Anolis sagrei: one gene and its partners. The protein of the gene in region 3 interacts with the protein of the main gene of each other region in a pairwise test. Links are inferred from orthologs where the notes say so. Each region holds a gene or a part of one and is shown on either strand. Other genes may lie near its edges. The genes, in order: STX11, STAT1, EIF1AD and BEND7.

The links.
Region 1: the proteins of EIF1AD (region 3) and STX11 interact in binary tests that used the Homo sapiens proteins (3 or more experiments, as listed by UniProt). The two-hybrid records come from large-scale screens. The link is inferred for Anolis sagrei from reciprocal best matches to the Homo sapiens genes EIF1AD and STX11.
Region 2: the proteins of EIF1AD (region 3) and STAT1 interact in binary tests that used the Homo sapiens proteins (3 or more experiments, as listed by UniProt). The two-hybrid records come from large-scale screens. The link is inferred for Anolis sagrei from reciprocal best matches to the Homo sapiens genes EIF1AD and STAT1.
Region 4: the proteins of EIF1AD (region 3) and BEND7 interact in binary tests that used the Homo sapiens proteins (3 or more experiments, as listed by UniProt). The two-hybrid records come from large-scale screens. The link is inferred for Anolis sagrei from reciprocal best matches to the Homo sapiens genes EIF1AD and BEND7.

The regions. Positions count from the first base shown.
Region 1 is NC_090021.1:76,142,976-76,150,417, reverse strand, and holds the start of STX11 (syntaxin-11), read left to right. Parts: upstream 1-4,428; 5' UTR 4,429-4,483; intron 4,484-7,442. UniProt on the Homo sapiens protein: SNARE that acts to regulate protein transport between late endosomes and the trans-Golgi network.
Region 2 is NC_090021.1:182,695,475-182,703,463, reverse strand, and holds the start of STAT1 (signal transducer and activator of transcription 1-alpha/beta), read right to left. Parts: upstream 3,005-7,989; 5' UTR 2,901-3,004; intron 1-2,900. UniProt on the Homo sapiens protein: Signal transducer and transcription activator that mediates cellular responses to interferons (IFNs), cytokine KITLG/SCF and other cytokines and other growth factors.
Region 3 is NC_090032.1:22,011,721-22,019,295, forward strand, and holds the start of EIF1AD (probable RNA-binding protein EIF1AD), read right to left. Parts: upstream 3,006-7,575; 5' UTR 2,907-3,005; intron 77-2,906; 5' UTR 1-76.
Region 4 is NC_090025.1:92,913,280-92,920,333, reverse strand, and holds the start of BEND7 (BEN domain-containing protein 7), read left to right. Parts: upstream 1-4,039; 5' UTR 4,040-4,458; coding exon 4,459-4,519; intron 4,520-7,054.

The DNA of each region.
Region 1 (7,442 bases), on a different chromosome or scaffold from region 3:
TAGTAGGGTTGGGGGTGGGATTGATTTTGTCATTTGGGAGTTGTAATTGCTGGGATTTATAGTTCACCTACAATCAAAGAGCATTCTGAACTACACCAACGAGGGAATTGAACAAAACTTGGCACATAGAACTCCCTTGAACAAGAAAAAATACTGGAAGGGTTTGGTGGGCATTGACCTTGAGCATTGGAGTTGTAGCTCACCTACATCTAGAGATCACTGTGGACTCAAACAATGGTGGATCTGGACTAAACTTTGTACGAATACTTAATATGCCCAAATGTGAACACTGGTGGAGTTTGGGGGGAAACAGATCTTGACATTTGGGAATTGCCGTTTCTGGGATTTATAGTTCGCCTACCATCAAAGAGCATTCTGAACCCCACCAATGATAGAACTGGACCAAACTTCCCACACATAACCCCCATTACCAACAGAAAATACTGTGTTTTCTGATGGTCTTTGGTGACCTCTCTGACACACCCTCATGACCCCCCAGGGGTCCTGATCCTCAGGTTGAGAAATGCAGATCTAGAAGAAAAATAAAATAAATTAACAGTGCAATTGTAAGAATCAATGTATTTTACACCTTAGTGATGGTTCATCTTAGGGTTCCCATAAATGACTTGGGGCTGGATCCAAACTCAGGCATGTGCAACTGGGCTTGAGAAAATGGATTTCATTGTCCTCCCTGTCCCGCTTGAAATACTGAACCCATTAGTGCTCCAGATGGGAGAAAACCTCAGAGTGGGATGGGCCGCATGGTCCCTAAAAATCAAGTAAAATGAACACAGCAGTGCAGTGAGCAGAGGGCACATTTTGATGCATCCCTCAAGAATGGGTCATTTCAGGACCTGAGAGGATACCTTTCCCATTACTTGAGCTTCTTAAAAGCACATGCTGGGATTAAGACCTTCTGGTCTGTTCCTGGTAATTTGTTTTTGTTGTTTCATAAAGCTGTCAAAAATGAAATACAACACCCAACCCAAATTTAAAGTTCAGATATTTTTTTTGCTGAGCATCAGCTCTGGCCCTGCACTTAGGCAGGGTGCGGCAGCTTTCCTAGATGGAACATTTTGTTTATTCTGGAAGGGTGGCTCATTTCTTCATGATTTTACTTGATGCCGCTGGATCTTTATTGCTAGAGATGAAAAGAGGTGGCTACGGATTTCCTGCTCCATAGGCAAAAATAATTTACTAGTAGTACTATGCAATTTGACCTGGAGGTGGGGTGGCATTTGCTACTCAATCTCAGGCAGAAAAATGGCCCCATTTCTTCAAACAAACAACAGCTGTTAAAAAAGAAAGGGTGGATATGTGAATGATTGGGAGCATGTTTTTTATGGATTGTAGCTGTGTTGGCTGGAAGGTTCTGGTAGAATCAAAGAGTTGGAAGAGGCCAGGGGTTATTCAATCCAACCCCCTGCATGTAGAAAAAGCACAATCAAAGCACCCCCGGCAATGGTCTTCTGGCCTCTGTTTAAAAGACTTCAAAAGAGCTTCCCCCAGACTCCAAGCAAAAACTTCCACTGTTGAACAGCTCTCAGGTTCAGGGAGTTCTTCCTAATGTTTAGGTGGAATCTCCTATCCTGTAATTTGAACCAATTGTTCTTCAGGTCAGCAAAAAACAAGTCTACACTCTCTTCCTTATGACATCCTTTTAATTATTTAAACATGGTAATCATGTCACCTCTCAACTTTCTCCTCTGCAGGCTAAACATACCCAGCTCTTTAAACCATTCCTCATAGCGCATGGTTTCCAGGCCTTTGATCATTTTAGTTGCCCTCCTCTAGACACATTTCAGCCTGTCAATAGCCCTCTTGAATTGTGGTACTGAATTGGACACAGTTTTCCAGGTCAGGTTTAACCAAAGCAGAATAGAGAGGCACCATTGCTTCCCTTGGCCTTTTAATTGCTGCATAACATTGTTGGTTCATGTTCAACTTGTGATCTACTAAGGCTCCAAGATTTTTTGCACATGGACTGTTGCTGAGTGAGGCCTCACCCATCCTGTATCTGAGCATTTCATTTTTTTTCTCCCTAAGTGTAGTATCCTACATTTCTCTTTGTTGAAATTCATTTTGTTAGTTTTTGCCCAGCTCTCGAATCTTTTAAAGTCACTATAAATCCCGATCCTGTCCAATAAAACATAGGCAAATGCTGATGGTAATGTACTTCAGTACCTCCTAGGACAATGCTTCCCAGCCTTTGCTCTTTTATGTGTTTTGGACTGATGCTATTTTCTTAGAAATACAACCTAGCAGACCATTTTGTTTGCTTAGTCTATTGATGCTCAAAATGCATACAGCTTTGCCCTAGGTTTTAGTGGCTTCAAAGGTACCTTTGGTCCTTCGGGTATTTTGGACTTCAGTTCCCAAAATTCCTGACAATTGCCTAATGGCCCTTCCAGACAGGGCAAAATCTGAGAGGAAGTGGGTTATTTAAACCAACTTCTTCCTGGGTTTGTGTCCCCACCCCCAACCCAAACCCTGGGGTTTTCTTTAGGTGGTGGCTAAATGCCATTCCGGGTCAACCAATGGTTGACTTGGGATGGCATTCAGTTCCCCTCCAGCCCTCCATTTCCCCAAAGAACCCGTACCTGAAGGGTCTGCTGGCAATGCAGGCCCCTCTGCAGAGTACTCCTGACAAGTGAAAATGATGTGTTGGGGGGGGGGGTAGCTGGGTGGGAGGGAAGTTGGAAAATACAGAACATATTAGGAAAATCCCAGTTTTCTCCAGATTAATTTGCTTTTATCTGAGGTGTCATTTGGATGCCTCAGGAAAAACCAAGACAAGTCCCACATTTTGGGCCTGTCTGGAAGGGTCCTAAGGATTGTAAGCTGACTGTGGCTTCTGGGAGATGATGCCCCAAACATCTGCAGAAACAAAGGTTGAAAGCCACTATGCTAGAAGACAGGCTCTAGGAGTGCATCTACACCAGTGGTTCCCAACCTGTGGTCCATGGACCACCAGTGGTCTGCAAGAACAAAAATATGGTCTTCTGCGGCCTCACCATTACTACACTATTGCTTTGTAACCATGCGGCAATGACAGCGACTGGTCTTGCGAAACCCTCTTATAGTGCTGAGGCAACAGGGATGCCGGGAGTGGAGAGGCTGATTACCCACAAAAGATTACTACTACCATATCATCCCTAGATTATTAAATATGGTTTTCTGTGGGCAAGCAGATAGTGACTACTGGATGGCATATGTTTTGTACTGGAAACCAGAGCTGATGTCGTCTATCCAATGCAATTTTCTGAATATGCACCCCAAATAACTAAACCAAATCTAAAGTTGACCAAAAACTGTTTCGTAACCCTTTTGGTACTAATGTTGGAGAGTGGTCCCTGATCAAAGTGGTCCCTGGTCAATCTACTTGATAGATTGTTACGAGTTTTAATTTAATTGTTTATATGCTTAGATTGTTTACATTTTTATGAGATGTGATTTATTGTTTACCTGTGTGGCATCAAATTTTTGCCGAACTTGTAAGCTGCCTTGAGTCCCCTCTAGGGTTGAGAAAGGCAGGGTAGAAATGAAGTAAGTAAATAAATCATAAAGTGGTTCTTGGTCAAAAGAAGGTTGGGAACCACTGATCTACACTGACCAGATAATGTAGTTTGACAGTCCTTTAACTGGAATGGCTCAGGGCTATGAAATTATGGGAGTTGTAGTTTTAGAAAGTTTGCATAAGAGTGCCAGTGTCTCACCAAACTTCAGATCCAAGGATTCTATAGCATTAAGCCATGGCAGATGGAAGTGGTGTCAAGCTACATTGATCAATATACATAGATCAACATACCCCTGTAGTCAGCCAACTACAAATCTCATGACTCCATAGCATTGAGCAATATAGATACCCCTGTAGTCAGCCAACTACAAATCCCATGATTCCCTAGGATTGATCAAGATAGATACCCCTGTAGTCAACCAACTACAAATCCCATGACTCCCGAGCATTGATCAAGATAGATAATATCCATGTAGTCAGCCAACTACAAATCCCATGACTCCCTAGCATTGATCAAGATCGATACCCCTGTAGTCAACCAACTACAAACCCCATGACTCCATAGCACTGAGCCATGGTAGTTGAAGTGGTGTCAAGCTGAATTGAGCAGTATGTAGATAGATACACCTGGCTGTAGTCAACCCCTGGCTATGCACTGATGCTTGGGGCAAAACTTCCAGGAATGTGGGCAGGCACCGGCATCACCATCCTGGAGAAGTCCCCTGGAGGCACAGTTCTTTCCCAGGCAGCCGGACAGACCTGTCAGCCTTCTCTCTGCCTGCTTCCCATCACCTGCCTCATCCCCTTCGGAGTGGGCGGGGCCATGGAGAAGGGGATCTGCGGCGACCAATGGGCTTCGCGGAGGAGGAGCCGGGGGCGGGGCGAAGCGAGCCTGGCTGGGGACGCGGGAGGGAAACGGGGTTGGCAGCCCGGTCAAACGCGCCTCTGGGAGCCGAGCCGCAGGAGGTGAGTCCTTGCCTTCGGGTTTCTTCTTCTTCTTCTTCTTCTTCTTCTTTCCTTGCTCTACCTTTCATGGAGATGAGGGTGGCTTTCTCTTTGGTTCAAACTTCTGGCTGAGTTAGAAGGGAAGTTTTAGTGGGTAAAGTTCTATGAGTTGCTATTATTATTATTATTATTATTATTATTATTATTATTAGGAGCCCCTCGGTGGCTCAGTGGGTTAAACCACTGAGCTGTTGAACTTGCTGACCAAAAGGTCGGCGGTTTGAATTCGGGGTGAGCTCCCGCTGTTAGCCCCAGCTTCTGCCAACCTAACAGTTTGAAAACATGCAAATGTGAGTAGATCGATAGATACCACTCTGGTGGGAAGGCAATGCCGCTCCATGCAGACATGCCAGCCACATGACCTTGGAGGTGTCTACAGACAATGCCGGCTCTTTGGCTTAATAAATAATAATAATAATAATAATAATAATAATAATAACTTTATTTGTACCCCGCCTCCATTTCCCCGAAGGGACTTGGGGCGGCTAACATGGGGCCAAGCCCAAGCAATTACAATAAAACAAAATAAAATACAAGACGCATGACACCATCAAATAAAAATGTTTATGTAATAACATAATATGCCAATAGAAATGACTTATTAAGGTCGTAGAGATGAGCGCACACACACACACACACACACCCCAAGTCAAACACAACTAGACTTAATGTCAAGGGAAAACTTTTACCTTTACTTATTATTATTATTATTATTATTATTATTATTAGAAACACAACAAGATGAGTCCACAGCAGACAAGATCATTCTGCTGGCTGTTGTATTGGATCACACGTCGGACACTTCCCAAGTATCTAGGACTGTTTGATGTATCGGTGAATAATGCGTGCAGATCCCAGTACAGTGGCCTTTTGCAGCTGGCAGATGGTAATTTTGTCAGCGTCGATTGTATTTAAGTGCAGGCCAAGGTCTTTAGGCACTGCACCCAGTGTGCCGATCACCACTGGGACCACCTTTTCTGACTTGTGCCAGAGTCTTTGCAGTTCAATCTGTAAATCCTCATATCGTGTCAGCTTTTCCAGTTGTTTCTCTTCAATCCTGCTGTCACCTGGGATTGCAACATCAACAATCCATACTTTGTTTTTTAACACGATCATGAGGTCAGGAGTATTGTGCTCCAAAACTCTGACAGTATTATTATTATTATTATTATTATTATTATTATTATTATTATTTTGATGGGTTGGTTGAGCAATCCTTATCTGGGATTACAAAATCCTCTAACATTGAGACAGTGAGAGCTTTTCTTTCTGGTGGTTCAATGTACAGAAAACTTGGGGTGCATCTTTGCTATAGAACAGGCATGGGCCAACTTGGGCCCTCCAGGTTGAGAAACGCTGCTCCAGGTGTTTTGGAGTTTAACTTCCACCAGCTTAAGCGGCTGAGGGAGAAAAGGAAAGGGACTCAGGATGGTAGGAATGGTGGGAGTTGAAGTCCAAATACCTGGAGCAGTGTTTCTCAACCTGGGGGTCGGGACCCCTGGGAGGATCCCAAGGGGATGTCAGAAGGGTCACCAAAGGCCATCAGAAAATACAGTATTTTCTGTTGGTCATGGGGGTTCTGTGTAGGAAGTTCGGTCCAATTCTATTGTTAGTAGGGTTCAGAATGCTCTTTGATGGTAGGTGAACTATAAATCCCAGCAACTACAATCCCCAAATGTCAAGGTCTGTTTCCCCCCAAACTCCACCAGTGTTCACATTTGGGCATATTAAGTATTCATACAAAGTTTAGTCCAGATCCAACATTGTTTGAGACCACAGTGATCTCTTGATGTAGGTGAACTACAACTCCAACACTCAATGTCAATGCCCACTAAACCTTCCAGTATATTTTCTTGTTCATGGGAGTTCTATGTGCCAAGTTTGGTTCAATTTCCTCGTTGGTGTAGTTCAGAATGCTCTGTGATTGTAGGTGAACTATACATCCCAGTAACTACAACTCCCAAATGACAAAATCATTCCCCCATCCCCAACTCCACCAGTATTCAAATTTGGGCGTATTGGGTATTTGTGCCAAATTTGGTCCAGTGAATGAAAATACATCCTGCAATATCAGATATTTACATTACGATTCACAACTCTAGCAAAATTACAGTTATGAGGTAGCAAGAAAAATAATTTTCAGGTTGGGGTCAGGTCACCACAACATGAGGAACTGAATTTAAGGGGTCACAGCATTAGAAAGGTTGAGAAACACTGACCTGGAAGGAGGGCCCAAGTTGGCCCATGACTGATTCATATGGTGTCTTGGACTGAAGGCAGCTCACAACATATTAAAATAGCACAGAGTAAACCCAGTAACAAAGTCATCTGAAGTATAAATATAAGATTTTTTTAAAAAAAAAAACACATGCTTTACACATTGAAATAATTAAAAATATAAAAATGCCTTAAATCAATTCTATACAAACCCCTTAAATTTTAACACCACCATCACACAGAATTAAAAGCCCAGTCTTGTTCAATATGCAAAGGCTGGTAACACAACAATTCTTCCACTTGCAGGGATGAGCTGTCTCCCTTGTCACTACCAACTGAGCCTAAGAAGGTAAGGGGATAGAGAAGGACTCCTGTAGTTGTAATAATGGCTAGAGAGATGTAAAAAGCTCTTCTTTGGGGAATTACATATTTATTTTCAAGTATCAACCTGTATATGTTTTCGCACTGCAGCTGTCATTGTGTCTGCTTAGCTAGGGCTGGTGAGAGTTATAGTGCAACAACATCTGGAAGGGTCACAGCTGCATGCCCTTAAACAAGATAGTGTTTTGTTGACTTAGTAAGAAAGGAGTCCCCAGTGGTGCAATGGGTTAAACCCTTGTGCCAGTAGGACTGCTGACCAAAAGGTTGGCGTTTCGAATCCAGGGAGCAGGGTGAGCTCCCGTCTGTCAGCTCCAGCTTCTCA
Region 2 (7,989 bases), on a different chromosome or scaffold from region 3:
TTTATATTTTAATATTATATTAATATTATAGTATTAAAATATAAACATTTATTATTATTATTATTATTATTATTATTATTATTATTATTGCCACAGGACTGTTTTGTTGTTTGTCTAGATTACAAAATTGATCCAGGATTACAATCACCCATGAAAAGAATAATTGACTCAGAAACATGCATCAGTAGTAGTATCTAACACAGTAGTATCTAACACAGTAGTATATAACACAGAATATCAAGGCAGAAAATTTCATGATATCTGCTTTAACTGGCATATCGGAGTCCACACTGCCATATATTCCAGTTCAATGTGGGATTTTATTCTTCTGTGTAGAAGGGGACTAAGCTCCAGCTCCTCATGCAGGGACATGAGAGAAGCTTCCTACAAGGATGCTAAAAACATCAAAACATCCAGGCATCCCCTGGGCAACGTCCTTGCAGACAGTCAATTTTCTACACCAGAAGCGACTTGCAGTTTCTCAAGTTGCTTCTGACATGACAATATATATATATATATAAATGGCAGGGAACAGAAAGTGGTCAAGACTATATATTCAGAGGTGGACATCGGAATAGATCTTGGGTTGATGTGAGTTTTCGGGGATATCTGGCCATGTTCCAGAAGCATTCCCTCCTGAAGTTTCACTCACATCTATGGTAGGCATCCTCAGAGGTTGAGGGTTCTGTTGGAAACTAGGCAAGTGAGGTTTATGTATCTGTGGAATAATGTCCAGGGTGGGAAAAAGAACTCTTGTCTGCTTGTGGTAAGTGTGAATGTTGCAACTGGCTACCTTGATTCACACTGAATGGCCCTGCAGTTTCAAAGTCTGGCTGCTTCCTGACTGGTGTATCCTTTGTTGGGAGGTGTTAGCTGGCTCTGATTGTTTCATATCTGGAATTCCAATTTTCTGGGTGTTTTCTGGATTCCCCTTGGCAGGAAGCAGCCAGGCATTGAAGCTGCAAGGCTATTAAATGCTAACCAAGATAGCCAATTGCAAGATTCACACTTGCCTCCAACAGACAAGAGTCCTTTCTCCCACCCTGGATATTCCACAGATATATAAACCCAACTTGCCTAGTTTCCAACAAACCTCGCAACCTCTGAGGATGCCAGCCATAGATGTACGCAAAATGTCAATAGGGAATGCTTCGGGAACATGGCCAAACAGCCTGGAAAAATGACAGCAACCAGTGATTCTGGCCATGAAAGCCTTTGGCAACACATGGAACAGTTCTTGCCAAGAGTAACCTGTTTTGAGATTATCCAAAGGTCTGGCTGCACTTGAAGGCAAATAACAAGAAAAGGGAAGGAGGGGAAAGACATATAGGTGGCACCTTTAAGATCAAATGATTCTTATCTGACACATGTCCTTCATGAATATCCAAAAAATCAGTCTTAAAGATTCTGCCGTGTACCAGTTGTTGTACTCCTCCCTTTCTCCTTTTAGGCTACTTCTCTGAAAACAATAACTGATGCTTTGACAAGGCTGCTCAACCCCAGAATGCCACACCTGCCATCTGCATGAAATATGAACATTAAAAATAAATGTACTCCAAAAAGTTGGATTTGGCAATTACATGCCCCTGGAACACAAGAAAGTAGAACATACGAAAGGCTGGGATAAGCAGGTAATCTTAAATGGGCGACCAGATGTCATGAAAAGACAGCTCTACAATGTATTGTCGAAGGCTTTCATGGCCGGAATCACTGGGTTGTTGTAGGTTTTTTGGGGCTATATGGCCATGTTCTAGAGGCATTCTCTCCTGACGTTTTGCCTGCATCTATGGCAAGCATCCTCAGAGGTCTCACTACCTCTGCGGATGCTTGCCATAGATGCAGGCGAAACGTCAGGAGAGAATGCCTCTAGAACATGGCCACATAGCCCAAAAACCCTACAACAACCCAGACATCTCTACATTCATTAAGAACTAACAGATCTCTGATGCCTCTGCAACACTCCATACAGCATACAGATTATCTGCTTTGAGCCTAGCTGCTTTGAACTGGATTACATGGCAATGTAGACTCAAATAATTCAGTTCAAAGCAGACAATGTGGATGATCTGCATTGATAACCTGGATTTCATATATCAGTGTAGATGGGACCAGGAGCCCCTTCCACACAGCTGAATAAAATCCCATATTATCTGCTTTGAACTGGAATATATGGCAGTGTAGACTCAGATAATCCAGTTCAAAGCAGACAATGTGGATGAACTGCACTGATAACTTGGATTTTATATATCAGTGTAGATGGGACCAGGAGCCCCTTCTACGCAGCTGAATACAATCCCATATTATCTGCTTTGAACTGGAATATATGGCAGTGTAGACTCAAATAATCCAGTTCAAAGCAGACAATGTGGATGACCTGCATTGATAACCTGGATTTTATGTATCAGTGTAGATGGGACCAGAAGCCCCTTCTACACAGCTGAATAAAGTCCCACATTATCTGCTTTGAACTGGGATATGTGGCAGTGTGGACTCAGATAACCCAGTTCAAAGAATATATTGTGGGATGTTTCTGTCTTGATATTCTGGGTTATGTAGCTGTATGGAAGGGCCCTGAGGGAAGTCTAAGGGCCCTTCCACACAGCCACATTATCTGCTTTGAACTGGGAGTGCATCTATACTGCAGGATGGATGCAGTTTGACTTCACTTTCCATGGCTCAAGGAATGCCTGGATTTGTAGTTTGGTGAGGCACCAGCACTCTTTGGCAGAGAAAGCTTTAGACCTTGCAAAACTACAACTCCCCTGATTCCAGAGAACTGAGCCTGGTCAGTTAGAGAAGTGCCAAACTGCATTATTTTTCTCCAGTGTAGATGCACCCCATAGCAATTAAAGGAGAGGGGATCCAATTGCATTAATTCAAAAGGTAGGTGCAGCACTCACCTCACAGTTTTCCCACTCCACAATCGGACACACAACCACAGCAGCACTGCCTCTCCTTTCCTTCCTTCTCTGCTTCTGTAGAAAACGAAACTGCCTCTGACCAGGAAATAGCAAACTGCGAGAGGCAGGCGACCAATCAAAAAGAGGCTGGCAGCTAGGCTCAACCAATCCGGAAAGACCGCCGCCTCTTGATGGAATACCGCTGTTCCTGCAACTTCTCCTCCTCCCTCTTCTGGCTTGTCATTGATGCAAACAGCAGAGTTGTCAGTTTAATTTAGTTTTATTACCTTTTTTTGGCCAAAATCCTTCCATCCGCGCCTGAAAACATAGACATTTATGGGTTGCTGTGAGTTTTCCAGGCTGTAAAGCCATGTTCCAGAAGCATTCTCTCCTGACGTTTCGCCTGCATCTAAAGCAGGCAACCTCAGATATTGTGAGGTCTGTTGGAAACTAGAACAAGTGATATATATCTGTGGAATAATGTCCAGGGTGTGCAGGACATTCCACAGATATATAAACCCCATTTTTCTAGTTTCCAACAGCCTTTGAGGATGCAGGTGAAACGTCAGGAGAGAATGCTTCTGGAACATGGCCTTACAGCCCAGAAAACTCACAGCAATCCACTTATTCTGGCCATGAAAGCCTTTGAGAATGAATACATTTATTTTTATTTCCAGGGTGGATTTCCCTTATGTTTAGTCAAAAATTACCATGATGAGGATTTCTTATATTGTAATATTATGTTAATATTATATTATTAAAATATAAACATTAATAATAACAACAACAACAACAACATGGGACCTTCAATGTCGCATGCATGGGAACAGATACAAAACAGCAACTTTCTGTTGGAATGCAACTCCCATGACTTCCATGATTCAATGCTATGGAGTCCTGGGGTCTGTAGATCTTGTAAAATTACAACTCTCGTGAATCCATAGTATTGCTCCATCATGGCAGTTAAAGTGATGTCAGAGTAGTATACACCCAACAACAACAACAACAACAACAACAACAGGATTTAAAGATCAAAGTGCAAAGACTCTGGCACAAGCCAGTCAAGGTGGTCCCAGTGGTGATCGGCACACTGGGTGCAGTGCCTTGGCCTGTGCTTAAACACAATTGGCGCCAATACATCACACAGTATTAGACACTTGGGAAGTGTCCGATAATAATAGGATTTAAAGATCAAAGTGCAAAGACTCTGGCACAAGCCAGTCAAGGTGGTCCCAGTGGTGATCGGCACACTGGGTGCAGTGCCTAAAGACCTTGGCCTGCACTTAAAAACAATTGGCGCCGATACATCACACAGTATAAAGACTCTGGCACAAGCCAGTCAAGGTGGTCCCAGTGGTGATTGGCACACTGGGTGCAGTGCCTAAAGACCTTGGCCTGCACTTAAATACAATCTGTGCCGATACATCACACAGTCCTAGACACTTGGGAAGTGTCCAACGTGTGATCCAATACAACAGCCAGCAGAGTGTCTGCTGTGCACTCATCTTGTTGTGTTTCAAATAAAATAACAACAACAATAACAACAACAACAACAAATCTGGGCTACCAAACAGCAAGAAATTCACCAAAAATGTCCCACTTGTTGTATATGGATGATCTACAGCTTTAAGGAAAATCAGAAATTGAGATCCAGTCACTGACCAACACAATCAGAATTGGCACACTGGGTGCAGTGCCTAAAGACCTTGGCCTGTGCTTAAACACAATTGGCGCTGACTAATAATAATAATAATTATAATAATTATAATAATAATTATTATTTATCTGCCTCTTCTTAAGGCTCGAACTCGCATTGAGGAGCTGTCAAGGTAAACATTTGCAAACCGCAACAAGTCTTCCTGGCCTGACAACAAAAATAATTCTCCTGATTTTCCTGGAAAGACAAAAAAAAAGCTAAGAGCGCGGGGGGGGGGGGGGGGAGAGCAGTGGCCGCAAGGGCAGGGGAGGGAGGTGGCGCGTTCCAGGGAACAGCCGCCGCCACGTGGTTTCTGGGAAACAGAGGCTTGTAGAGGAAAAGCCTCAGGCAGAGAAAGCGAAAGTTAAAAAGGATCCCCGGGAGGGGAGGGGGAGGGAGGGAGGATCCACCTGCAGATCTGGCTCGGAGGAAGCGGAAGGGTTCTAGGCTCAGGCTTCTAGGCTCAGGGCCCTTCCACACAGCCCTATACCCCAGAATATCAAGGCAGAAAATCCCACAATATCTGCTTTGGACTGGGTTATCTGATCCCACACTGCAATATAGTCCAGTTCAAAGCAGATAATGTGGGATTTTATTCAGCTGTGTGGAAGGGGCACCAGACAGGCCCTCTATCCCAGGATCTGATCCCAGGTTTTCTGCTTTAAACTGGATTATATGAGTCCACACTGCCAGATAATCTGGGATAAACTGAAAACCTGGGATCAGGTCCTGGGATAGAGGGCCTGTCTGGGAGGGCCTTAAGATATTGTAACCTTATATTAGAGAGTACCCATGAGTTTCCTTTTTAAAAAAAATATATTAAAATCTTCGGCTAGAGGGGCAATAATAATACCTTTATAAATAATGGTATTATTATTTTACTGACACAAAAATACAGTATGTCACAGCAAATGAGATCTATATCCTGGATTTCGTATCAAACACTTCCCAAGCGTCTAGGACTGTGTATTATTATTATTATTATTATTATTATTATTATTATTATTATTTGAAACAGTACAAGATGAGTCCACAGCGGACACTCTGCTGGCTGTTGTATTGGATCACACGTCGGACACTTCCCAAGTGTCTAGGACTGTGTGATGTATCGGCAAATAATGCGTGCAGATCCCAGTAAGGTGGCCTTCTGCAGCTGGCAGATGGTAATTTTGTCAGCATCAATTGTGTTTAAGTACAGGCTAAGGTCTTTAGGCACTGCACCCAATGTGCCGATCACCACTGGGACCACCTTGACTGGCTTGTGCCAGAGTCTTTGCAGTTCAATCTTTAAATCTTCATATTGTGTCAGCCTTTCCAGTTGCTTCTCTTAAATCCGGCTGTCGTCTGGGATTGCAACATCCACACTCTGTTTTGTAACATGATCGTGAGGTCAGGAGTCCTGTGCTCCAAAACTCTGTCTGAATTCAGAAGTCCCAAAAGCGTTTGGTGTGTTCATTTTCTATAACTTTTTTCCGGCCTGTGATTCCACCAGTTCTTTGTCACAGGCAGATGGTATTTGTGGCACAAGTTCGAATGAATCATCTACGCAACGGTGTTATGCCTCTACTTGTAGTGATCTTCTTGCATCAGCTGAAGATGTGATCTATTGTTTCCTCTGCTTCCTTGCAGAGTCTACACTTGGGATCTGTCGTTGACTTTATTATTATTATTATTATTATTATTATTATTATTAGAAATGCAACAAGATTTGTACACAGCAAACAAGATCGCTGGCTGTTGTATTATTATTATCATCATCATCATCATCATCATCATCATAGCCAATGCATCAGTGACTTAAGTCTTTCTAGCATAAATCTATTGTGTCCATGGGATAGGATTTGCACACAGGAGAAGCAAACAGTTCAATGATTACACTGTTTGGAAAAAAAATGAAAAATGTTCTGTTCTTGGTTTGAAAGCATTATTTCCTGTTTACTTGTGCAGAACTTACTTTGGGCTCTTCCACACCTCCATATAACCCAGAATATCAAGGCAGAAAATCCCACAATATCTGCTTTGAACTGGGTTATCAGAATCCACACTTCCATATATTCCAGCTCAAAGCAGATAATGGGGTTTTTTATTCAGCTGTGTGGAAGGGGGCTTTGAAAGTAGTTGCTATACCCGAGAAACTTCATTTTTGTGGCTGCCACAGACAATGTTGAATTGGCTGAGACCGTATGAGATATTCATTGGAAAACTATAGCAAAATGTACTGCAGGATGTCCTGCAAAAACAAATAACAAACCTTTTCCATGTTTTTTTTATCATAATTCCAATTAGGAAATAACATTTATAACCCAGGGAAAAAATTGTTACATTATGTGTCATTTTGCAAGGATGGAGCTGCCGCTGGAGAACACGGGATCGTGCAGACAAAATGTAATCCTCTGAGCATGTGCAGAATGCCTTCCCTTGCCAGCATACACACAAACAGTGGCGTGCAAGGTAAACTTTAATAATTTGCATTGGTTGAGCTAATATACATTGCACCCTGTATCATTAGATGTCAGGGTAATAATAAAAGCAAAATCAATATAAGTAGATCTTTAAAAACGTAGAACCAAAGAAAGCAGTGTGAAGAGACTAAAAGCACACTAAACAATTTGACAAGTTACGTGAGCTGCATTTCAACACCAATTAGTACCAATGGTCTGGGTGATGTGAATCACCATCCAAAACATGTGGAGGGCTATCCTGTCTCTGGGTGCATCTAGACTGTAGAATTAGTGCAGTTTGATACCACTTTAACCGCCATGGCTCAGTGCTATGGAATCATAAAAGTTGTGGTTTTAACCAAGTCCTGCCAAGAAGTCCTTGAGCCTCACCAAACTACAACTCCCAGATTCCAAGGCATTGAGCCAAAGCTGTTCAAGTAGTGCCAAAGTGTATTAATTCTACAGTGCAGATTCACCCTCTGATGTAAATAATCAGTCTGTCCCTTCCTGGTCCTATGGTAAGGATTCAAAATTGCAGCCAGAAATATGTCTAGTGACAGCATGGAGATTTATCACATGTTCAAAGCTATCATTGAACATTTAAAGACTAGGGAGTGCTCAAAATACTTTCACAAAGTCTTTGTGATATGTCAGTTTTTATTTATCTTCATATGCCAAGACACTTGATGAAACACCAGGAACATCCTCTTATTCACACAAAAATGTCCAGCAGAAACATTAATACCAACTCCATTTCAGATATCAACTGATTTCATTTACTTATCTGTTGTCCCTTCGACACTACCAGATAATCCAGATTATCTGCTTTGAACTGGATTATACGACATTGCCATATGATCCTGTTCAAAGCAGATAATCTAGATTTTATATGGCACTGTAGAAGGGGCCAGAGAGCAGCATATAATTTGGCTAACGAAGATTGTAAGTTCAT
Region 3 (7,575 bases):
TCAAGGTCATCCGAGTTCAAGGATGGTGGATCCAGTGCTGATTTCACTCCTTGGTACATTCACAGTTCGGGAAAAGCTGGAGGGAATATATTTGCATAGATTAAATAATAATAATAATAATAATAATAATAATAATAATAATAATAATAATAAATATTCTATTAAATTATATGTAAAATTATTATTATTACTATGTAAAAAAAATCTGGAAATGTTAAATTCAATATATATATTTAAAATATCAATAATGATACTAATTGTGTGAAAAAAATGAATCTGGAACTATTCAATAAAATATATTATTTATATATTCATAATAATGTGTGAAAAAATCTGGAAATATCACACACACACACACATATATATATTAATGCTTGTGTGAAAAATCTGGAAATATTCCATATATATATAATATATACATACATATACCTACATACACACACACACACACACATACATATATATATATACATACACATATATACACATATAATAGGGGTGAAAAATCTGAAAATATTCCATTTATATATATAAAAATAGATAGATAGATAGATAGATAGATAGATAGATAGATAGATAGATAAAAATACTTGTGTGAAAAATCTGGAAATATTACACACGCACATATATTAATAATTGTGTGAAAAACCTGGAAATATTCCATATACATACATACATACATACATAGTGTGTGGAAAAAATCTGGAAATATTCCATATACATACATATATACATATATACATATATATATATATAGTGTGTGTGTGAAAAATCTGGAAATATACCATTTATATAGGTAGGTAGGTAGGTAGGTAGGTAGATAGATAAAAATAATTGTGTGAAAAATCTGGAAATATTCCATATATATATATATATATATATATATAGTGTGAGAAATCTGAAACTATTCCATATAGATAGATACTAGATAGATAGATAGACATATAGATAAATATACTTGTGTGAAAAATCTGGAAATATTCCATATATATATACTTACATACATACATATATATAGTGTGTGAAAAATCTGGAAATATTCCATTTAGAAAAATAGATAGATAAAAATAATTGTGTAAAAAATCTGGAAATATTCCATATATATATATATATATATATATATGTATATATATAGTGTGAGAAATCTGAATCTATTCCATATAGATAGATAGATAGTCAGACATATAGTGTGTGTGTGAAAAATCTCAAAATATTAAACTAAACTAAATTAAACTAAACTATTAAACTAAAATCTATTTAAAATAATAGTATTAAAAAACTGGAAATATTCAATCAAAATATATTTATTATTATTATTATTATTATTGTGTGAAAAAACCTGGAAATATTAAATTAAAATCTATTTAAAACAATAATAATCATCGTATAAAAATTATAAATAATCAATCAAAATATATTTAACATTTATATTATTATTATTATTATTATTATTATTACTATTACTATTATTACTATTGTGTGAAAAAATCTGGAAATACTCCATTAAGATAGAGTAATAATAATAAAATATATTTAACATTTATATTATTATTATTATTACTATTATAATTGCACTTTAGTACAATTAATACTGCTGCACACCGTACTTTAAATTCCTATGCCCCTCCTGCCATTTTCAGCACTTTTAACCATGTACCCTTTCGCCGGCCGAACCAATTTTTAATATGTCTTGATGTATTGTTATTGCTGTTTGCTAATTTTTGATTTGTTTCGCTTTTGATGTTGATTTGCTTTGTTATTACTTGTTATGTTTTCTATTGTATTGTGTGTTGTGGCTCCGGCCTGTGTAAGCCGCATCGAGTCCTTCGGGAGATGCTCGCGGGGTACAAATAAAGTTAATAATAATAATAATAATAATAATAATAATATTACTATTATTATTACTATTATTATTGTGTGAAAAAATCTGGAAATACTCCATTAAAATAGAGTAATAATAATAAAATATATTTAACATTTTTATTACTATTATTGTGTGAAAAAAAATCTGGAAATATTCCATTAAAATCTATTTAAAATAATAAATAATCCTATGGGGAAAAAACTGGAAATAATCAAAATATATTTAACATTTATAGTATTATTATTATTGTGTGAAAAAATCTGGAAATATTCAATTAAATTATATTAATTATATAATAACAATAATAACTATGTGTGAAAAAATCTGGAAATATTCCAATGAAATTATTTCAAATAATAATAATCGTATGGAAAAAAATGGAAATAATAAAATATATTTAACAGTTATAGTATTTATTATTATTATTATTGTGTGAAAAAATCTGGAAATATTCAATTAAATTATATTAATTATATAATAACTATATATATATAATGTGTCAAAACATCTGGAAATATTCCATTAAAATCTATTTAAAATAATAACATTTATAGTATTATTATTATTGTTATTGTGTGTAAAAATCTGGAAATATTGAATTAAATTATAATATATATACCTCAATAATAATAATAATAATACTGTGTGAAAAAAAATCTGGAAATATTCAATTAAAATCTATTTAAAATAATAATAATAATAATAATAATAATAATAATCTTATGGGAGAAAAACAAGAAATAATCAAAATATATTTAACATTTATATTATTGTTATTATTACTATTATTGTGTGAAAAAATCTGGAAATATTCCATTAAAATAGTTATAATAATACTAATAATAGGAGTTCCTTGAGTTCCTCCCTCTCCTGAGCCCCAAAAGGGTGTTCCTGAGCATGTGCAGAGTGCCGGGTTCCCCCCCGAGGCCTTCAGGAGAGGCGAGGCCTCCTCTAGATTTCCCTCTACGCCACTCTCCCCGCCTGGGAACCCCACATTTCCCTCTACGCCGCTCCCTTCCCTCTTCCCTTCCTCGAGGCCCACCTGCTTGGGAACGGGCGCCTTCTTCTCCCCTTCGCGAAGCACGAGAAGCGGGCACTTCCTACTTCCGGCGAGAAGGGAAGCACCACTTCCGGTCCGGTCCCCATAAGGTTCCTACCTGCTCCTCGCGGCGCAGACGGAAGGTTCCGCCACTCAAAGGTTCCGCCCTTCTTTCCAGAGACACTTGGAATGAATTATTATATATATATATGGATATATGTATGTGTGTGTGGATATATATATATATATATATATATATATATATATATATATATATATTATACTATTTAATAAAGCTACTACTACTAATAATAATAACAGAACACTTTCAATAACAGACATTGCAAGTCTTCTGAATGTGCAGACTACGTCATCATCAGCATACTGGAATTCCATAACTGACATTGTCGGTCTTTTGAGTGCGCACAGACTACGTTATCATTGGCATATTGGAGTTCTATAACAGATGTTGTTATATATGGATATGTGTATATGTTTGTGTGTGGATATACATAGAGATTTTATTCTATTTAATAATGCTACTACTACTACTACTACTACTACTAATAATAATAATAATAATAGTAATAACAGAACACTTTGGTGTTCAAGGAGAGGCCGAGCTTCTCGTACGCTTCTGCAAAAGGTGTTGAGAGTGGCTTGTAGGCTTTCTTCCTCTGAATGCGCACAGACTACATTATCATCTGCATACTGGAGTTCTATAACTCACATAGGACTTCTTCCGAATGCACAGAGTACATTATCATTGGCATATTGGAGTTCCATAACAGGCATTGTAGGTCTTTTTCTGAATGTGCACAGATTACGTTATCATTGGCATACTGTAGTTCCATAACAGACATTTTAGGTCTTCTGAGTGCGCACACGCTACGTTATCATCGGCATATTGAAGGTCTATAACGGACGTTGAAGGTCTTATTCTGAATGCATACTTAAGTTCCATAACAGAAGTTGAAAGTCTTCTGAATGCGCACAGACTACGTTATCATCAGCATACCAGTTCCACAAGACTTTGTAGGTCTTCTTCTGAATGTGCAGAGATTACGTTATCATTGGCATACTGTAGTTCCATAACCAACTTTGAATGTCCATTATCATCGGCATATTGCAGTTCTATAACTGACGTTGGAGGTCTTCTCCTGAATGCGCACAGACTATGTTATCATCGGCATATTGGAGTTCTATAACAGACATTGTAAGTGTTCTGAATGCGCACAGACTACATTATCATCTGCATACTGGAGTTCTATCTCACATAGGACTTCTTCCAAATGCACAGAGTATGTTATCATTGGCATATTGGAGTTCTATAACTGACATAGGACTTCTTCCGAATGCACAAAGTACGTTATCATTGGCATACTGTAGTTCCACAACAGACATTGTAGGTCTTCTGAGTACGCACAGACGACGTTATCATCTGCATACTGGAGTTCTATAACTAACATAGGTGTTCTGAATGTACAGAGTACATTATCATTGGCATATTGGAGTTCTATAACAGACATTGCAAATCTTCTGAATGTGCACAGACTACGTTATCATCGGCATATTGGAGTTCCATAACAGACATTGCAAGTCTTCTGAATGCGCACAGACTACGATATCATCGGCATATTGGAGCTCCATTACAGGCATTGTAGGTCTTCTTCTGAATGCGCACAGACTACTTTATCATCGGCATATTGGAGTTCCATAACAGACTTTGTAGTTCTTCTGAATGAGCACAGACTACATTATCATCGGCATATTGGAGTTCCATAACAGACATTGTAGGTCTTCTTCTGAATGAGCACAGACTACATTATCATTGGCATATTGGGACTTCTACAATGTCTGTTATAGAACTCCAATTTGCCAATGATAACATACTCTGTGCACATTCAGAAGAAGACTTTCAATGCCTGTTATGGAACTCCAATATGCCGATGATAACGTAGTCTATGCACATTCAGAAGAATACCTACAAAGTCTACTACGTTAGCTACTACGTTATCATCGGCATATTGGAGTTCCATAACAGACTTTGTAGGTCTTCTTCTGAATGAGCACAGACAATGTTATCATCAGCATATTGGGAGATCATAACAAATAGATATTCACAAAGTCGGGTCACAACAGTCCATTTTATTTAGTGCAGAAAAATACGGAAGTAACAGAATAAACCAAAAGCTTCCACAACTTTTGGGGGGAAATCTTTTCCGTTTCTAGAAAAATAACCCTTCTATTTCAACTAGAAAACATAGTTCAGCATTCTTCATCCGGGAAGAAATATTTCAATATTTTGCATATATAATTAACTCTCCATTAATTAGCAAAAAAAAAAAAAAACCAAAAAAACCAAAAGGACGAAAAAATACTTTAAATAAATATTAAAAATCCATGTTTAGTGCAGGAAAGCGAGTGTTGCATTGAGTTAGCTTTCTTAATTAGCCTATGTGTGCATTTGAATATTAATATCGCATCAGGGAATGGTATAGTATTCGTTAGGCTGATTATTATTATTATTATTATTATTATTATTATTATGTGAAAAAAATCTGAAAAGATGCAATCAGAATATATTTTTTAAATTATTCTGTGGGAAAAAAATCTGGAAATATCCAATTGAAATATATTTAAAATAGTAATTATTATTATGATTGTGCAAAAATGTTTTTGGAAATATTCAATTAAAATATATTTACAATAATAATAATTCTGTGGAAAAATCTGGAAGCATTAAATAAGAATATAATTGAAATAATAATAATTATTATTGCGTGGGAAAAAAATCTGGAAATATTCAATAAGAGTATATTTAAAATATCTATTATTATTATTATTATTATTATTATTACGTGGGAAAAATCTGGAAATATTCAATTAAAATATATTTAAAATAATAATAAGAAGAAGAATAAGAATAATAATTGTGTGGAAAAATCTGGAAACATTAAATAAGAATATAATTAAAATAATAATAATTATTATTATTATTGCGTGGGAAAAATCTGGAAACATTCAATAAGAATATATTTAAAATATCTATTATTATTATTATTATTATTATGTGGGAAAAATCTGGAAGTATTCAATTAAAACATATTTAAAATAATAATAATAATGTGTGGAAAAATCTGGAAACATTAAATAAGAATATAATTAAAATAATAATTATTATTATTGCATGGGAAAAATCTGGAAATATTCAATTAAAATATATTTATAATAATAATAATAATTGTGTTGAAAAATCTGGAAACATTAAATAAGAATATAATTAAAATAATTATTATTATTGCGTGGGAAAAAATCTGGAAATATTCAATAAGAGTATATTTAAAATATGAATAATAATAATTATTGTGTGGAAAATTTTTGGAAATATTAAATAAGAATATATTTGAAATAATAATAATAATAATTGCATGGGAAAAATCTGGAAATATTCAATAAGAGTATAAAATATGAATAATAATAATAATTATTATTGTGTGGAAAAAAATTGGAAATATTAAATAAGAATATATTTTCAATGATTATTATTATAATTGTGTTGAAAAAAATCTGGAAACATTCAATTTAAATATATTTAAAATTATTAAAATTATAATTATTGTTGCCTGAAAATATAATAATAATAATAATAATAATAATAACAACAACAACAACAACAACAACAATAATGCAGCTTCCTAACTTGCTGGGTCTCAAATCCTGTTTTTCAGCTTCATTATGATTATGATTATTGTGTGAAAAAATGGAAAATATTCAATGAAAATATATTTAATAATATTTGTGTGAAAAAAAATGGAAATATTCAATGAAAATATATTTTAAATTATTATTATTATTATTCTGGGGAAAATCTGGAAATATTGAATAAAATGTTAATAATAATATTGTGTGAAAAATGGAATATATTCAATAAAATGTATTGAATAATAACAATAATAATAATATTTCTGTGAAATTTTTTTGGAAATATTCAATAAAATATATTGAATAATAATAATATTTCTGTGAAAAAAATTGGAAATATTCAATGAAAATATATTTTAAATTATTATTATTACGGGGAAAACCGGGAAATATTCAATAAAATTTTAATAATAATTTGTGAAAAATTGAAAATATTCAATAAAACATATTTAATAATAATATTTCTGTGAAAAAAATTGGAAATATTCAATTAAAATATATTTTTATTATTATTATTATTATTATGGGAAAAATCTGGAAATATTCGATAAAATTTTGATAATAATATTGTGTGAAAAATTGAAGATATTCAATAAAGTATATTGAATAATAATATTTCTGTGAAAAAAATGGAAATATTAAATTAAAATATATTTTAAATTATTATTAATATTATGAGGAAAATCTGGAAATATTCAATAAAAATTTAATAACATTATTTAATAATAATATTTCTGTGAAAAAAATGGAAATATTCAATTAAAATATATTTTCAAAAAATATTATTATGTGAAAAAAACTGGAAAGATTGAATTGAAATATATACTTAATAATCATAATAATAATTATAATCATCACCTTCCTAACCCATTGCTTGCTGAGTCCCGAATCCGGTTCTTCGACTTCATTATTATTATTATTATTATTATTATTATTAGCCTTCCAAATAAACAGGGTTTAAGTTTTG
Region 4 (7,054 bases), on a different chromosome or scaffold from region 3:
CTCTAAACACCTTCGCAGAAGCATACAAGCAGCTCGGCCTGTCATTAAACATTGAGAAAACCAAAGTGCTCTTCCAGCAGTCACCAAGCAATCCTTCTCAAATGCCAGAAATAAAGTTTAATGGTGTAACATTAGAAAATGTTGACAATTTCCACTATCTTGGCAGCCACCTCTCCACAAAAGTCAACATTGACACTGAAATTCAACACCGCCTGAGCTCTGCGAGTGCAGCCTTTTTCTGAATGAAGCAGAGAGTGTTCGAGTACCAGGACATCCGTAGGGATACCAAGGTGCTTGTTTATAAAGCTATTGTCCTCCTAACCCTGCTATATGCCTGTGAGATGTGGATTGTCTACAGACATCACATGCAACTCCTGGAACGATTCCATCAGCGGTGTCTCTGGAAAATCCTGCAAATCTCTTGGGAAGACCAGTGGATAATGTCAGCGTGCTGGAAGAAGCAAAGACCACCAGCATTGAAGCGATGGTCCTCCGCCATCAACTCCGCTGGACCAGCCATATTGTCCGGATGCCCGACCACCGTCTCCCAAAGCAGTTGCTCTACTCCGAACTCAAGAACGGAAAATGGAATGTTGGTGGCCGGGAAAAGAGATTTAAAGATGGGTTCAAAGCCAACCTTTAAAACTGTGGCATGGACACCGAGAACTGGGAAGCCCTGGCCCTTGAGCGCTCCAGCTGGAGGTCAGCTGTGACCAGCAGTGCTGTGGAGTTTGAAGAGGCACGAATGGAGGGCAAAAGAGAGAAACGTGCCAAGAGGAAGGCGCATCAAGCCAACCCCGACCGATACTGCCTTCCACCTGGAAGAAGAAGAAGATGCAGATCAAGAATTGGGCTTCAGAGTCACCTCCGGACCCACCGACAGAACACCGACCTTGGAAGACCATCATCCTTGGACTATGAGGGATCATCTAAATAAGTAAGTAAGGCAATGAAGGTACACAACAACAATCGTGACATGGCTGGGTGTGTCATTTCCATCTCTGACTGAGGCAGAAAAATATGCTTGGTCTGCCTTGACGTTGATGTTGAGGAATTTAGGAATAAATTAAGTGTAAATCTACTAGTCAGCTTGTTTAGCCTATCTCCTGACCTATCAAGTTAGGCATGTTTCATGCCCAACTCAATGCTATGAATATTTACTCATAAGAAAGTTATACGGCTTCCCAAGAGGGCCGGCCCTGGTTAGGTTTCTGGGATCGAAATCAGAAAAAGACAGGCAATAAACAAGACACATTGCAGCCAAAAACTCCAAATAAGACTTCTTTATGGCCGATGTTGAACTCATCTTAATCTTTTAAATCTCTCTTTGCAAAATTAAACTCCTTACGGGTTTTAATTGTCTGTAGTTGTGGCAATTTGTGTGCCTTAATTTCATTTTTGAGTAAACAATACAGCTTAAAAGTATGTATATATTTCCCTCTTGTCGCCATATCTAGTCACACAAGAATTTGGAATATTAAAAGCCACTTTTAAACTGAGGTGAGAAAACAGAATATATACAGGGAGGAGGGAGCAAGCTTGTTTTCTGCTTCCTTGGAGACTAGGACACGGAACAATGGCTTCAAACTACAAGAAAGGAGATTCCATCTGAACATGAGGAAGAACTTCCTGACTTTGAGAGCCGTTCAGCAGTGGAACTCTCTGCACCAGAGTGTGGTGGAGGCTCCTTCTTTGGAGGCTTTTAAACAGAGGCTGGATGGCCACCTGTCAGGGGTGCTTTGAATGCAATATTCCTGCTTCTTGGCAGGGGGTTGGACGGGATGGCCCATGAGGTCTCTTCCAACTCTATGATTCTTCAACTGTAAGACGCACCTCGATTTCAGTAACACCACCAGCAACAAAAATATATCTGATACACCCACGTCCTAAGATGCTTCCCATTTGTAGATATGTTTATACAGGCAGTCCCCAAGTTACAAACAAGATAGGTTCTGAAGGCTTGTTCTTAAGTTGAATTTGTTTGTAAGTGAGCACATTTTAAGTGCAACTCCAGCCAAATATAGAGCCCAAACTATAGCCCCCATGACTCCTTAGCATGGTGCCAGAGAAGTCAAAGTGGATTCATTCTACAGCAGAGATGCACCCCAAGGTTTTATTTTTCCATTGCTGAAAGCTTTGGTGTTCTAACACTTTTGTTTTGAAAGAAGGAATTTTGAGCAGGCAGCCACTGTAACGTGTACCTTTTGGGGCCAAATTACAAAGAGTGCACTTTTGTGCTGCTGTGCATTACAATAATTTATTTTGGTTTCAGGGTTTTGGAAATTGAGGTGCGCACTAGATTTGCTGGTGCAAAGTAAATGCAGGATGATTGTAAGCTGTCTAGTTTACAATCATCAATGTTCTGGGAATGATATATATCATTTAGTGTGTTCTATTTTGTCTTTTTCTTGAGATAGAAATATAGATATGGTGGAACCTCTACTTAAGAGCACCCCAACTTAAGAGTGTTTTGAGTTAAGAACCATAAATGGGCCGATGGTTTCACTCTGACATACAAGTAGCATTTTGAGTTAAGAGCTAGTGCCAAATACTGGGTTTTAAGGCTTCAAGGGAACAGCCTCTGTGCCTTGTGCCGCCGTGCTTCCTGCGCTTTTCTGCTTGTGATTGCGATCCCCTTTGCTCTTATCTGATTTGGACACAGAGCTCCCATGACCAACAGAAAATACTAGAAGGGTTTGGTGGGTATTGACCTTGGGTTTTAGAGTTGTAGTTCACCTACATCCAGAGAGCACTGATGCATCTGGACCAAACTTGGCACGAATACTCAATATGCCCAAATGTGGACACTGGTGGGGTTTGGGGAAAATAGACCTTGACATTTGGGAGTTGCAGTTGCTGGGATTTATAGTTCAGCATTCTGAACTCCACCAATGATAGAATTGGGCCAAACTTCCCACACAGAACCCCAATGACCACCAGAAAATACTGTGTCTTATCATTGTCTTTGGCGACCCCTTTGACACCACCTCGCGACCCCCCCAGGGGTCCCGACCCCCAGGTTGAGAAACACTGTCGTAGATGGAAAAAGGCCTGTTTGCTGGCAGCAGCGACCTGAGCCTCCATCGTCAGCTGCGAATCCAAAACGACACCTAGGCTCTTAACGGTAGGCGATGGAGATAGAGAAGGTAGGTAACGGATGGGTCGGACCTATCGGGTGGCCATGCCAGAGAATCTCAGTCTTTGCCGGGTTCACCTTCAGTCTGCTAGCATGTAGCCAGTTCGGCAGAGCCTCCAGGCATAAGGTGAAATTGTCAGGTATTGACGTTACTCCAGGCTCCAAGCGCAACAAGCTAAACATGCCCAACTCTTTAAGCCGCTCCTCATTGGGCTTGTTCTCCAGACCCTTGATCATTTTAGTCACCCTCCTCTAGGCATGTGAACGCACTACTTCGAATCCAAGTCTCCAGGGCAGTAGAAAACAAACCTGCTCCCTCTTCCTTATGGCATCAGTTTTTAACATCAGTAGAAATAGCTAATATTAACATAAATCGCTCGAGGGGATGTCAAGAAGCGGCCTGAGGTAACTCTAACTGAAAGGCCGTTCATGGCGAGAGAGAGGGCTGCTTCCTTCCTGCCTTGCTTGTACCGGGGATTGAGGCGCGCGACGCTGCCCTAGTGGGCAAAAAGGGCGCGAGGAAGCGGCTGAGGGGGCACGAGCCATGGCCTCCGTCAGGGCGCCGCACTCCTTCCCTCCCTCTCTTTCTCTCTCTCTCCCTCAGGTGGATGGGATGGAGGGCACAAAATGGCGCTGCTCCCTCCCCCTCCCAATGGCCCGGGCTCTGAGGCAACCCCACGCCCCCTGTCAGGGACAGACAGGGAGGGAGAGCCAGGCAGCGAGCGGTGTGCCCGCCCTCGCTATTAGCAGCCATGACACTCTGCTCTATCTCCCCCACTCTGTTTCCTCCTCCTCCCCCTTGGGGCCCACAGCCGCCGCTGCGTCCCCGGCCTGGCGTGGGCTGCCCAGCCGGCCTGGAGGTGGCAGTGGCGGCGGCGGCGGCCTTTGGGCCCAGCCTCCCGCCGCGGGGCGTGTGCCTCGGCTCTCCTCCTCCCCAGCAGGTGGCACCGGGCGCCCAGTCACCACCACCGCCGCCTCCTCCTCCTCCTCCCCATTGATTCGCCTCCCTCTTCCTCCCGCCCCCTTCCTCCCTTCCTTCCCTCTCTCTCCTTCAGAGGAGGAGGAGGCGGAGGGGACGGCAGCCCCTCTCCAAAGTTTGGAGCTGGATGCGGGCGACGCGGGGAGGCGAGGCGAGGGAAAGTCCGCCGCCAACTTGTCCCGCTTGGCCCTCCTTCCTCCTTCCTTTCTGCCCATTACAGAGACGGACCTTGGTCTCTCTCTGGCGGCTGGACCCTCCTTCCTCCTCTTTTCTCCTTCCTCCTCCTCGTCGCACTTGATTCCTCCTGCCTTTCTTCTTCCTCCTCCTCCTTCCTGCTCGCACTATGGAGTTTACTGAGAGGAAAAGAAGCAGGAAATCCCAAAGCTTTAAACTGATAAATCAAGGTAAGGAAAAAGGGGAAAAAAGGGGGGGAAGGGAGAAAGAGAGACTGGGAGAGAGGAAGGGAGGTCGTCGTCTGTGTGACATTTCCTTTTTGTCTCTGGGAAATAAAACAAGGAAGACTTCTAGATACAGAGAGTTTGGCAACCAGGATGTGTGACCCTTCTACACCTGAATAAAATCCCACAATATCTGCTTTTAACTGGGATATATGGCAGTGTGGACTCAGATAACCCAGTTCAAAGCAGATTTTGTGGGATTTTCTGCCTTGATATTCTGGGTGGAAGGGCCCTATGTGTCCTTCCTTTCAGTCTCATTAGGATTATTTTAACTATTTAATAATCTTGGAAGCGGTGTTTTTGCGTGTTTTTATTTATTCAGAATCGGCACTTTTTTCTCAGGGAGCCAAGACATCAAATGTGAAAGTTAGGTGGCACTTCCTGGTCAATGCAATTTTCAAGAAGAGGCGAATCAGGAAATCAGCCAGACAATGATATTTATGGCCCTTCCACACAGCCATATAACCCAGAATATCAAGGCAGATAATCCACAATATGTATTTATTTATTTACGACATTTCTATGCCGGCCTTCTCATCCCGAAGGGGACTCAAAGCAGCTTACAAGATATATATCCGTACAATATGTTATATTATTAGCCTAGTACAGTGATGGGCAACCTTTTGAGCTTGGTGTGTTAAAATCTGCCAAAAACCTGACCATAACTTGGGTGGAGTGTCAACTTCGAGAAAAAAAACCCCATAACTTTGCAATATTTATAGTTTAAATAAGAAAAATGTATATTCCATGCTGAGTTATGGAGTGAACAATGCTCAAACATGCAGATGTTAAATTTGTAGAGCCTTTTACAAATTTAAGGATGGAATTCAATTGGCCCTTATAAGGTGTACTTCTCTATATGCGGCCGCATGTGGCTGCGTGTCATGAAAAATAGCCATGCGTGTCAGTGCTGACACACGTGTCATAGGTTCACCATCACGGGCCTAGTACAATATCAGTATTAACTATGGAGCCCCCGGTGGCGCAGTGGGTTAAACCCCTGTGCCGACAGGACTGAAGACCGACAGGTCGCAGGTTCAAATCCGGGGAGAGGCGGATGAGCTCCCTCTATCAGCTCCAGCTCCTCATGCGAGGACATGAGAGAAGCCTCCCACAAGGATGATAAAAACATCAAATCATCCATGCGTCCCCTGGGCAACGTCCTTGCAGACAGCCAATTCTCTCACACCAGAAGCGACTTGCTCCTGACACGACAAAAAAAAGTACTAAATATTACTATATTGTACTATACCATTATATTGTAATATTATTAGTAATATTACATGTAATACCGTATATACTCGAGTATAAGCCGACCCAAATATAAGCCGAGGCACCTAATTTTACCACAAAAAACTGGGAAAACATATTGACTTGAGTATAAGCCAAAGGTGGGAAATACAGCAGCTACTGGTAAATTCCAAAATAAAAATAGATTCCAATACTATCTCATTAACTGAGGCATCAGTAGGTTAAATGTTGGGTTGTTGTAGGTTTTTTCGGGCTATATGGCCATGATCTAGAGCAGGGGATCCACAAACGTTTTACCAGAGGGCCAGGTCATAGTCCCTCAAACTGTTGGAGGGCCGGATTATAATTTGAAAAAAAATATATGAATGAATTCCTATGCAAAGTGCATGTATCTTATTTGTAGTGCAAAAACACTTTAGAACAATACAATAATTAAAATGAAAAACAATTTTAACAAATATAAACTTATTAGTATTTTATTGGGAAGTGTTGGCCTGCTTTTGGCTGATGAGGTAGGGTTGTTGTTGCTTTGTGCTTTCAAGTCGTTTCAGACTTAGGTTGACCCTGAGCGAGGGCCAGGTAAATGACCTTGGAGGGCCACATTCGGCGCCCGGGCCGTAGTTTGAGGACCCCTGTTCTAGAGGCATTCTCTCCTGACGTTTAGCCTGCATCTATGGTTAAATGTTTTTGAATATTTACATAAAACTGTAATTTAAGATAAGACTGTCCGACTCTGATTAAACCATGATACCAACCTTTTTCAGTGTAAATGTTTGCACATCCTTTCAGTAATAAAAGAGTAAAATAATAAATGTAATAATAATAGAGCAAAGTAATAGAAATGTAATAATAACAGTAATAATAGAGTAAGATAATAAATGCAATAATAACAGCAATAATAAAGTAAAATAAAAAATGTAATAATAATAGAGTAAAATAATAATAATAATAGAATTAAATAATAAATAATCTTGACTCGAGTATAAGCCGAATGGGACTTTTTCAGCCTAAAAAAGGGTTGAAAAACTAGGCTTATACTTGAGTATATACTTTATTTTATTTATTTTATTATTTATTTAATTATTTTATTTAGTACATTTCTATACCGCCCCTCTCAGCCTTTCGGCGACTCGAGGCGGTTTACAAGGCAAGAATTCAATGCCACCAAGGACACAATTGCAATATACAATATTAAAACATCAGCAACAATAAAATCAAACATTATAATGA